Lonchura striata: one gene and its partners. The main gene of each other region encodes a partner of the protein of the gene in region 3 in a complex. Links are inferred from orthologs where the notes say so. Each region holds a gene or a part of one and is shown on either strand. Other genes may lie near its edges. The genes, in order: SNRPF, SNW1 and SNRNP40.

Region 1 (3,438 bases), on a different chromosome or scaffold from region 3:
CAGGAGGACCACAGTATCCTTTCCATTCTTCAGCAGAGACTCACAAAGCACACTCCCTTCTGCAGTCTCTTGCCTCAACCCCATTAATGCCACTGAAGTCTGTGGATCCCTGCAGCTGCCAGGAGGCTTTTGGCTGTGTGGCTGTTGGCTGCTAAGTAGATATACATTTGTCCTTTCTTAATGACCATACAGCCACACTTCAAGCTTCCTGACTCAAAGCAGGAGAATATTTCTGAGGGAAACTGGGGTATAACAGATCGCCACACCTCACTTGCAGTGAAATCTTCCCAGCTAATTCTAAATGTTTTATAAACATGTTTAAAGATGAAACGTATTTAAATAGTCATGACATACATACTGTAAAGTATAGATACTGCCAAGTCTTCCTGTATTTCAGATGGGAAGATAACTTTTAAGGTATTTTTAAAGTCCTTGCTTTTCATTTCAATATTTCCAACTTTCAATTGAACCAATTACCTATTGTTCCTCCAGCATTAGTTTTTCAGACACCAATAAAATATTAACATTTTTTAAAGAGTTAATTTTCCCCATACTAAAACACAACAGAAATAAACATCTTACTACAGAAGTATGAAAAACAAAAAAGAAAAGAAAGGTTTATTTTCAGAAATACAAAACACCTATTCTCTCATTTCTCCATCTTCTTCCTCTTCTTCCACACCTCTGATGTACAAAACATTATTGCACCTGTAAATAGAACAAAGAGTTTCCTTAGCTATAAACATTATCATTTTCCCCACATAAAACAAGCTTTAAACATTTTTCTGCTTGAATGTAGCCTGGCAACAGCCAAATTCTACAGAACAAAAAGCTGCTGTTGTCCTTGTACACCTTTTTCACACAGTACATCAAACTGTGCAACTTCATGAATGTAATAAATGTTTGACAATGCTGTACAAAAAATTTTTTACTTTAGGGTGAACAGTTACAGTCAAGTTTAACTTCCAAGCATGCAAAGTGTTTCCAGCTACAGTGCATTAGTTTACAATGCCAAAGGATTCCCAAATATATAATACTGTGGAAAACAAAAGTATTTTGTTACCACAAAGGAGACAGTAAATACTTATCTAGATATTGCAAAAATCATTTTTCCTCCTCTCAGAAGGGACTTTGATATAGAAGTCACATTCATAGCCTTCCTATAAGAGCTACACTTGGCATCTTAATTAGACAAGAAACACAACATCCACCAGTATAAGCTTTAATGCAAGTGGTGAGGCAATTTAGAGCCTTCCTCCACCATAAATAAATATCCCAATTACCTTATCAAAACTTCACCCAGGTGTCCAGACAACGCACCGTCTATGTACTCCTCTGTGTTTGCAAGCTTGAAAGGAAAATGAGGAAAAAATCAGAAAGACAGCAATAAAAGCGGCTCCGCAAAGCACACGACGGCTCTGCCCCAGCCCAGGGCTCGGCCCCAGCTCCCGGGGGTGGCCGAGCGGCCCCGGTCCCGCTCTGCACCGCGTCCCCACCGCCCCCGGCCCGGCACGCAGCGCCTGCGGCGGGGAAGGTCCTTCCTTAGGCATCACCTCCTTGAGAGCCCCGTCAGGGCAGAGACACCTCCCACTGCCCCAGGCTGCCCAGAGCACACCTCCCACTGCCCCAGGCTGCCCAGAGCCCCATCCAGCCTGGCCTTGCACGCTCCCAGGGATGCGGCACCCACCATTTCTTCCTCCACAACGCCGGGGGCCGGCACCGCCCCGGCACGCCCCCGGCCCCTCACCTGCATGTTCATGTAGCCGTCCACGGAGACGAGGTAGCCCTTGTACTCCATCCCCCACTTCAGCTTCACCATCACCGGTTTCCCCGTCAGCCCGTTCAGGAACGGCTTGGGGTTGAGGGGCAGGCTCTGGCGGGGGAAGCACACGGTCAGCGCCGCCCGCCTCCCGCTCCGCCTCGCCCGGCCGCCTGGGGCCCGTAACGGAGCGGCTCCCGCCCCTCAGCGCCCGGCTCCCGCCCCTCCCGGCTCCCGGCCCGCCCGGCCCGGCTCCCGCCGCTCCCGGCTGCCGCTCACCATGGCGGGAGAAGCGCGGGCCCGGCGGGACCGCTCGTGCGCGCCGCGGGACAAGGGGCGGCGCTGGGAACGGCTCCGCTTCCCGTTCCGGGGGCGCCGCTCTCACCCCCGGCCTCCCACCGCGCCGCGCTCCCATAGGCTGCCGGGCCCCGACGCGCCGAGCCTCAGGCGCGGCCGCCCATTGGCTCGCCGGTGCCGCGGGCCTGTCTCATTGGCTGCCACTTCCCCCTCCCACCCCCCGTGCTAACCAATCGCTGTTGCCGCCAGTCGCGCCGCGGTGGCGCGGCCGTGCGCGGCGCGGGGGGTGAGCTCGCGCCCCGTGCGCGTCCCCGCGCGCTGTGCCCGTGCGCGTGCCCGCGGTGCCCCGCGCGGTCCCGTCCCGTGAGGCGGCGGCGCGCGGCCGCGCCCATCCGTCCGCGAAAAGAAACCCGCGGAGTGGTTCCACACGCAAGGATAGGAAATCTCAGAGGTCAGCGGGCACATTAAGTGCGAATTCCCCGTCAGTGGCTTTTTACCCCCAGGCAAAGATGTTCTTGGGTGTAGAGAGAGTCGCGACACATCAGTGCTGACTTATGTCTTAACCTTTGACAGGCAAGTGTGCTGCACCAACGCCTGTACCGTTTACCGATTGGTCACATCCTCACTAATGTCTTCTACTGCCCGGTGGATAAATTCATCACATGCCACAATGTGCATTTCTGTTCTGCATGCAGCATGTCCCCTTGATCTTCAGTGTATTATTGGGTGCTGAATGTGGGAAACACCATTCAGGAAACTTAACCTTTCAGTAACAGAGCTATTGTGGGTTGTGTGCACTTCACCTTCCAGAAGTGACTCTAGTGCCCTGGTATTGAAAGCAAAACCATTCTTGCCTCCTCAAATCTGCATATTTAAAGCTGTTGATGCAAAAAGCCATCTTCTCCAGGTCCAGACTGTCCTTACACACCGTGAACGTGTAGGAGTGAAACGGATGCAATTGTAGTTCCTGTTCACTAGCATATATCACAAGTGCAGTTACAGAATCAGAATTGTTAGGGCTGGAAGGGACCTCTGAAGACCATCCAGTCAACCCTCCTGCCAAAGCAGGGTCACCTGCAGCAGCTGACATAGGAACATGTCCAAGTGGGTTTGGAATTTCTCCAGAAAGGGAAACTCTGCAACCTCCCTGGGCAGCATCTTCCAGTGCTCTGCCACTTCCAACGTGAAGAAATTCTTCCTCATGTTGAGATGAAACTTCTTGTGACTATATCTAGATGCACATTTGCACAACCATTAGAAATAAGTGTGATTTTATTTTAGGGTGTAGTGGATGGACAGCAGAAACAAGACCAAAATATGCTAATTTTCTTTCTGGTAGCAGGGCTCATTATGGTCCAGCTGAAAGAATAACTAACTTACTT
Region 2 (3,746 bases), on a different chromosome or scaffold from region 3:
ACCAAGTAGTTACCACCACTAGGACGGAGTGGGCTGAGACTGAAAATGACCAAGCAGAACACTTCCAAACACGGACAGTGTGCTTATCCCATCTGCAAATGCTCCTTTAAACAGTTTCCGCTATCGGAAGTTTTCCACTGGATGTCCCACATTCAACAATTAGTTGTTAAAGTATTAGCCAGAACTAAATTCAGTCATTCTTCAATTTTTTAAATTTTTCTTTCTGCAACTCTTAACGTAAAAAGAACAGCAATGGCAGTCCAGGAGCACTGGACAAAGGTTATGCTTTGAAAGCATTAACTGCAATTTGCACCTGTTTATGAAGCGGAAAGGAGCCCTTAACAGGCTTTTTGAGATGTGCATTAATTTGTGGCCAAGTGGTGTTGGAAAGTCTTTGCAAACCTTCAGCATCTGGCTTCTTAAAATATTTCTTTATTAACATTAAGAAAGAATAAGCACTAAAATACTAGCTTTAGTACTCAACAGTGTAGGAAGGGAAACCTTCACTGGGTATAATGGAAGTATAATTTTTGACATCATACATATGCAGCATATGATGAAATGCTGAACTTGCAGAAGAACGTTTTCTTTCCGTGAACCACTGGAACTACTGTTTGAAGTACATGGACCACCACAGAACAGTGTTGGATTTATAAAAATGGCACTCAAACATAAATGAGAGCAACATTATTACAAGTTGATGAAATTATGGTATTTGGAAACAACATAGGATCATACATAAACTACTGTAATAAAACTTCAACAGCTTGCTTGTTCCAAGAGCATTGGCTTGTGACTCATCAGAACAGGTCTCAGAAGTTATTGTCAAGGATCACTTCAAACTGCAAGGTTTTTCTGGCTCACAGTGAGAGACTGTACTAAAACTGTTTTATAATCAGAATACATCTGTATTTTTATTCTACCTTTAGCAGTTCCAGTTTAGATTACATTAAACTGGCAAGGGTTACAACTACTAACACACAACATTGTCCAAAATCTTTTAGCCAATAACATACTTAAACAACAAATATTTGGTTATTTTTTTATTTTCCTTCCAACTGTAATAATTTTGTCCCCCAATAGCAGGTATCTTTTTGAACAGAACACACACACAGAACATCTTGTCTCTGATACACACACATTCACTTATTTCAGCTATAATCCAGAATGTGTATTTAACACTAACAGAGAAACAATATGGATGTTTTTCTCAGGGAAACCTTGTGTTCACAGACTGTAAATCCAAAGGGCTACAGATGTATTTCTACATTCCAACACAACAATCTCTGAACAGAAGTAGACATAGACCATCCTGTTTACCATCAAATGCTTTAAGGAATCCAGTAGATTAGAACCTCTCCCAACACAAAGGTTTATCAAGCAGTATGGATAATGCACATTGTAAGGCTTTGCACAATTCTCAGCAACATTCAAGGTGCTCAGAGCTTATTTCTACTCCAGAATTTTTTTCTCCCTTTTAGCAGACACATTACTACTGTATCAATTTAAATATTTACCTCTAGTGCACGAGGTATCCATCCTTTCCGGTAACCATAGGGGGGGGGTTCCCTTCTCGAGGAGACCAGAGCAGCCTGCCTGGATCTCTGAGCTCTTGCTCTTTCTTCTAGTTCTAGCTGATCTTGGGACAGCTGGGTTGGAGCTGGCAAAAAACTGGACACCCATGGACAGCAACCAAAAGAGAATTACATAGAAAGTTAATTCTGGTAACTTCACTCACAGGCACTCAACTATGCTTGACTGAACTTCTTGCTAAGTTAATACTTTCTCGACAAGCACTCTATAGATTAAGAAACAATTTATGAAACTTGAGCATTGCACTCATAAATGTGAGGGCAACTTCTAAGATTCAGTAACTTCGGAGATTACAGTTGCAATGTGTGCTTTCTCAGCATTCTGAAAGATTCCTACAAAAACAAATGCTAAATTCACACGCATTCACATCTTTCTTGAATAGAAGAGTGGCAATGCCCATTTTCCAACAGGAATCCCACATATCACCGGTATTCTTTACACTACTAGGAATAAGAAAGAAATATTATGTTCCTGTGTCTCTAGTCCCAGTGATTCGTTCTTCCTTTCTCTCAAGGCAAACATCCACAGAGATCTGACAAAGACCTCTCTCCTCTACCCCTGACACCTCCCTGCCAAGGGCAAGTCGAACCCCAATTTCTTCACTTCCCCTTTTTTATCTCTTCTTGTCTACACAGCCCTTTTGTGCATTTACTAAGAAAGTATCCAAAGAAACTTGGGATTCCGGTGCAGCCACCGGAACTGCACTCCCATGCCCTGCGAGACACTACAGATCGCAACAAAGACCGCTCGCCCTCTCCGACGGTGAAGAAACCTCGACAAAACCCCACGGACCCAACCGAAGCGGAGGAGCTCCTTCTACCCGCAGTGAACAGGCGAAAGAAGCAGCGCCCTGACCACGGCCAAACCCCCAGGGCTCCCCCGGCCCGACCGGCCCTCGCCGCACTCTCTGCGGCCGCGGCCCGGCCGGCGGGCCCCCTGCCCAGGAGAGGCTGCGGCCCCCCCGCGCACTCCCTAGCCGCGGCCGCTCCCGTCGGCGGAGCCCCGCAGCGCGGCGGCGAATCCCCGGCCCGGCCGGGGGAGCCGCAGCGCCCTCACGGCCCGGGCGGGCCCGCCCGACCCACCTGGTGAGCGCCATCTTGACCGCGCAGGCCGTCCGCCCGGCAGCCGAGGAGCGGGGAGACAGCGACACCTGCACATGCGCAGTGCCCGCAGCGTACCCTGGGAGTTGTAGTCTTCGTGAGGCCACTCGCGGCGCGGTGGCGCATGCGGTAGGCCGCAAGGCGTCCTGGGAGGTGTAGTTTTGCGGTATCCCAGTTTATTTCTTCAGCCGTCCTATTCCGCTCCCCCGCACTATTCACACAGTCTCCAAGTTCAGTAACTTCACAGTTCATCCAGCTGAATATGTCCAAGTAAAAAGTAGAAAATATAGAGCAAGTGGATCAGGATAAAATTTATTCTGATATACCTGCTGCTTAGAAATCGTTGAACTGGGACATGGGAGTGAAGGAAAGAAAAGAGACTGAAAGTGGTGTAAAAATATTGATTGAAAAGAGAAGAATTTCTGCATTAAAAAGGAGTTGTGCTGTCTTTGTTAAATGAGCATACATAACATAGGAGTTCTTTAAATCAAATCAAGAGATACACTCTTTAGAGTACAATTAAAATTTGGAATATGGAACAATATTTCTCAGGGAGTTGTAATACATGGGAACTAAGTGGAGCTTTACATAGGAAAATCTGTTTTCCTATGTAAAGCTATAAACTATTTGAGTTAAAGTGGCAATATATAGCACTATATATAACTGAAGATTACTAATTAAGTTGCTATTGTTATATCACCTCTAGTGAATCAAAGGCAGAAGAGTCCCACTGAGCCAGGCGTTGGTTCATCTAGAAGAGAAATGGAAGCCAGACAGGGAAGAAAAGGGTAGAATGACTAAAGAAACAAACATGGTCTATCAGAGATTTTAAAAATCACACCATAGGAGGCAGGAATACAATAAGACAGAGTAACTGTCTTGCAGTCCTCTAGTCATTTTGTCTGCCCTATCATCTCCTAATCTGAAGGGTGAACTACTCCTTCAGGATAAATTAATCTGCTACAACTTTTAGGACTGGGAAGATTTGGAGGAAGGTAAGGGCAATCCTGTGCAGTCTCTCTATGCCTGAACTCATCAGCTCCAGTGGGAATC
Region 3 (3,746 bases):
AGACGAGCTGGGGGCCCCTCCGGGCAGGGTAGCAGGAGTTGACAAAGGACGTGTGGCCCTTGAGCCTCTTGACCCTCTCGCCCGTCTCGCTGTCCCACACAGCCACGGTTTTGTCCGTGGATGCTGAGAAGAGCATGCTGCAGGAACAACCACTGTGAGGGCCCAGCTCCCTTCCCAGTTCCTTTCAGGAACAACCTCCCCTGTTGGTGTTTTGGAGGCGCCTGAAACACTGACTGACACTGGAACAGCTGCATGGATAAACTCCCCTTAATCCCTGCTGTGAATGGTTTTGCTGCCTCCTCAAGCAGCATCTAGGATGAGCACAGCTCAGCAAAGCTCAGCAGCAATGGTGGAACAGCCTTTTAAATTAACCAGTATCTCACTTGCTCTGTCTCCCTCCCCAGTGACTCCCGGGCACCCAACACAAACTTCCCTCTGTGCCCCAAAACTGCATCAATGGCACTGGGGGGGGTCACAGGTGCCCCCAGATCCTTTGCCCACACTACAAGGACTTGGTGTCCATGGACTGAGCACAGGTGACAACCCCAGAATCATTTAGGTTGGAAAAGAGCTCCAAGAACATAAAATCCAAGCTGTGCCTGGTCCCCACCTTGTCCCCAGTCCAGAGCTCTGACTGCCGCCTCAGGGATGGGCACTCCAAACCCCCTGGGCAGTTCCAAGGCCTGAGCCCCTTTCCATGGGGAAATTCCTGCTGCTGCCACCCTGAGCCTGCCCTGGCCCAGCCTGAGGCCGTTCCCTCTCCTCCTGTCCCTGTTCCTGGAGCAGAGCCCGACCCCCCGGCTGTCCCCTCCTGGCAGGAGCTGTGCAGAGCCACAAGGTCCCCTGAGCCTCCTCTTCTCCAGGCTGAGCCCCTTCCCAGCTCCCTCAGGGATTCTCCAGCCCCTTCCCAGCCCCCTCAGCCCCTCCTGGGGCTCCAGCCCCTTCTCAGCTCCCTCAGCCTCTCCTGGGGCTCCAGCCCTGTTCCCTGAGCTGCAGTGAGTCCCTGAGCAGCACAGAGCCCCTGCCCTCACCTGCCATCCGTGTTGTAGTGCAGCTCCATGACAGCCCCGCTGTGTCCCTTCAGGGTGGCAAAGTTGTCACAGTCCCCGTAGACGTTCCAGAGCACTGGGGGACAGCAAGGGACAGGTGAGCACAGGAAAGGCTCGGGAACAGCCCCTGCTGTGCATGGAGCTGATCTTTGGGGATTCAGCAAAGTGGGGATGGACCAGCCCCACTGCTGAGTCCCAGCTGGGACAACTCACAGCAGTGACAAAGCATCGTGTGAGCCCCAGGGCAGAGCAGCTTTAGGGAGCTTGGTTAAGGTGAGTTTATTATGAACAATTATAATTTTTGCCTCAGGAAGCCTAAGCATTAAAACTGCATTTCTGCAGACCTCTGGAAGCCGTGTGCCAGGGACACAGGGCGGTCACAGCTGGCACCCAGCAAGGCACTTTTCCAGCACCATCAGGATGGCACCTGCCAGAGCAGCTGGGAAAAGCTTCCTGCACCCCCATGGGGGAGCAATTCACACCCAGAACCCAGCCAGGTGAGGGCTGAGCTAAAACCCCCCAGCAACAGGGCCTGAGCCCGGGGGACAGCAGGGGACAGCAGTGCCACTCACAGATGAGCCTGTCGAAGCCAGCTGAGGCCAGGGTGTTGCCATTGGGATGGAACTTGCAGCAGTAAACCTCCCCCTCGTGTCCTGACAGCAGCATGATGGGGGCCTGCAGCGAGGAACAGCGCGGGGGGCCCTGGGGGACACCGAGACACCGTGAGGGGACAAGGGGCAAGGCCAGCCTGCCACCCCTGCCGAGCATCTTCACCTTCCCACAGCACATCCCACCAGAATTCCAGCATTACTGAGGCTGGAAAAGAGCTCCAAGGTCATTGAGGCAACCTGGTCCCCAGCTTATCCCCAGCCCAGAGCTCTGAGTGCCACATCCAGGACGTTCCTTGGACACCTCCAGGGATGGCACTCCAAACCTCCCTGGGCAGTTCCAAGGCCAAGGGTGGGCAGCAGCAGGAATTTCCCCATGGAAAGGGGGGGGTCACCCTTTCCATGGGGAAATTCCTGCTGCTGCCACCCTGAGCCTGCCCTGGCCCAGCCTGAGGCCGTTCCCTCTCCTCCTGTCCCTGTTCCTGGAGCAGAGCCCGACCCCCCGGCTGTCCCCTCCTGTCAGGAGCTGTGCAGAGCCACAAGGTCCCCCTGAGCCTCCTTTTCTCCAGGCTGAGCCCCTTCCCAGCTCCCTCAGGGATTCTCCAGCCCCTTCCCAGCCCCCTCAGCCTCTCCTGGGGCTCAGTTCCCTTCCCAGCTCCGTTCCGCGGACAGGCCCCAGCCGAGGGCCTAGAACCTAACACAGGTGCCTCAGCAGTGTCCAGCCCACCACGCTCGTGGCCCTTCCCTGCTCCTGGAACCACGCCTGGCCTCTCCTGTCCCCTCACCTCCCGTCCCACCCCGATCTCCTCCCACCCTCCCCTCACGTTCCCCCGTTACCGCCTGCAGCAGAGCTCCGGCCGCGGGCTGTCCCCCCGCGCCGCCCGTGCCCGGCGCCCCGGGCAGGTCATGGCGGGGCCGCTTGGCGGGCGCGGGGACGAGCGGGAGGTCGGGGCCGGGCGCGGGGGCGGCGGCGGGGCCGGTGGGGCCCGGGGGGGCGGCAGGACCGGGCCCGGGCGCGGGGCCCGGCGCCTTCCGCTTCTGCTGCTCGATCATGGCGGCCGCCGCGCCCCGCCCCCCGCGCCCCATTGGCTGTCGCTGCCGCGGCCGCCGCGCTGATTGGCGGAGCGCCGGGCAGGTCCCACCCCCCGACGCTGCGCCGAGGATGGAGCGGGGAGCGCGGCGCCTTCTGGCGCGCTTCGCTCTGATTGGAGGAAAGCGGTCGCTGGGTGGTATGGGTAACGCTGATTGGCTGCGGGACCATCCCACGGCAACATTGCGCGCTGTGATTGGCGAGGAGCGTGGCCCCTCAGCGTGAGGGGGTGATGGCGGCGCGCTGGTGTTGCTGCCGCGGGTGCTGACGAGCCCCCACCGCCCCGCGGGCTCCGGGAGGAGCCGTCCTGTCCCTCTGCGCCGGTCCAGGTCAGTCCTTCACCGCAGCACTGCGGGTCCAATCCCCGCGCCCCTCAAGGCGCTGAACCCCGGGTGCTCTCTGGGGCTTTTCGGGCGTTAATGAAATTTTTCTTTCCTCAGCATCCTGCAGAGGAGATGCGGTAGCGAGGGTGAATCCAGCTGGCTGTCACGGCGCCTCGGGAGGCGATGGAGCCGCTTCCCGAGCTCTACTCCATCTTCCAGGGCGAGGTGCGGCACGGCTGGCGCGGCCCGGGCCAAGCTCGGGGGGAATTCATTCCGTGGGTTCGGTCGGGATAGCGCGGGGGAGCTCTGGGGATGCACAGCTCTGTCCAGGTGCACAACCTGTGTCCGGGGGCTGTTCATGTGCAGCTGCGGGGGCAGCCGAGGAGAGGCAGTTCCGACCTCTTCTGTCACTGGGTTCCCCACCCTCAGAGCTCGGAATTCCAACAGGAGCAGCACCTGGAGCTGCTGGAGAGAGCCCAGAGGGATCCACGGAGCTGCTGCAGGGCTGGAGCCCCTCTGGAGCCAGGCTGGAGAGCTGGGGGTGCTCCCTGGAGAGGAGAAGCTCCAGGGAGAGCTCAGAGCCCCTGCAGGGCCTGGAGGGGCTCCAGGAGAGCTGGAGAGGGACTGGGGACAAGGATGGAGGGACAGGAGCCAGGGAATGGCTCCCACTGCCAGA

Evidence for each region.
Region 1: SNRNP40 (region 3) and SNRPF share a complex: the UniProt entries of both Homo sapiens proteins name them as parts of the U4/U6-U5 tri-snRNP complex. The link is inferred for Lonchura striata from reciprocal best matches to the Homo sapiens genes SNRNP40 and SNRPF.
Region 2: SNRNP40 (region 3) and SNW1 share a complex: the UniProt entries of both Homo sapiens proteins name them as parts of the minor spliceosome. The link is inferred for Lonchura striata from reciprocal best matches to the Homo sapiens genes SNRNP40 and SNW1.

What each region holds. Positions count from the first base shown.
Region 1 is NC_134607.1:54,491,474-54,494,911, reverse strand, and holds SNRPF (small nuclear ribonucleoprotein F), read right to left. Parts: upstream 2,170-3,438; 5' UTR 2,042-2,169; coding exon 2,039-2,041; intron 1,874-2,038; coding exon 1,748-1,873; intron 1,349-1,747; coding exon 1,284-1,348; intron 709-1,283; coding exon 642-708; 3' UTR 591-641; downstream 1-590. UniProt on the Homo sapiens protein: Plays a role in pre-mRNA splicing as a core component of the spliceosomal U1, U2, U4 and U5 small nuclear ribonucleoproteins (snRNPs), the building blocks of the spliceosome.
Region 2 is NC_134608.1:21,876,628-21,880,373, reverse strand, and holds the start of SNW1 (SNW domain-containing protein 1), read right to left. Parts: upstream 2,762-3,746; 5' UTR 2,690-2,761; coding exon 2,676-2,689; intron 1,672-2,675; coding exon 1,518-1,671; intron 1-1,517. UniProt on the Homo sapiens protein: Involved in pre-mRNA splicing as component of the spliceosome. As a component of the minor spliceosome, involved in the splicing of U12-type introns in pre-mRNAs.
Region 3 is NC_134628.1:6,742,379-6,746,124, reverse strand, and holds the start of SNRNP40 (U5 small nuclear ribonucleoprotein 40 kDa protein), read right to left. Parts: upstream 2,717-3,746; 5' UTR 2,711-2,716; coding exon 2,495-2,710; intron 1,752-2,494; coding exon 1,622-1,751; intron 1,126-1,621; coding exon 1,032-1,125; intron 138-1,031; coding exon 1-137. Other genes in the region: ZCCHC17 (zinc finger CCHC domain-containing protein 17), read left to right, coding at 3,254-3,295. UniProt on the Homo sapiens protein: Required for pre-mRNA splicing as component of the activated spliceosome. Component of the U5 small nuclear ribonucleoprotein (snRNP) complex and the U4/U6-U5 tri-snRNP complex, building blocks of the spliceosome.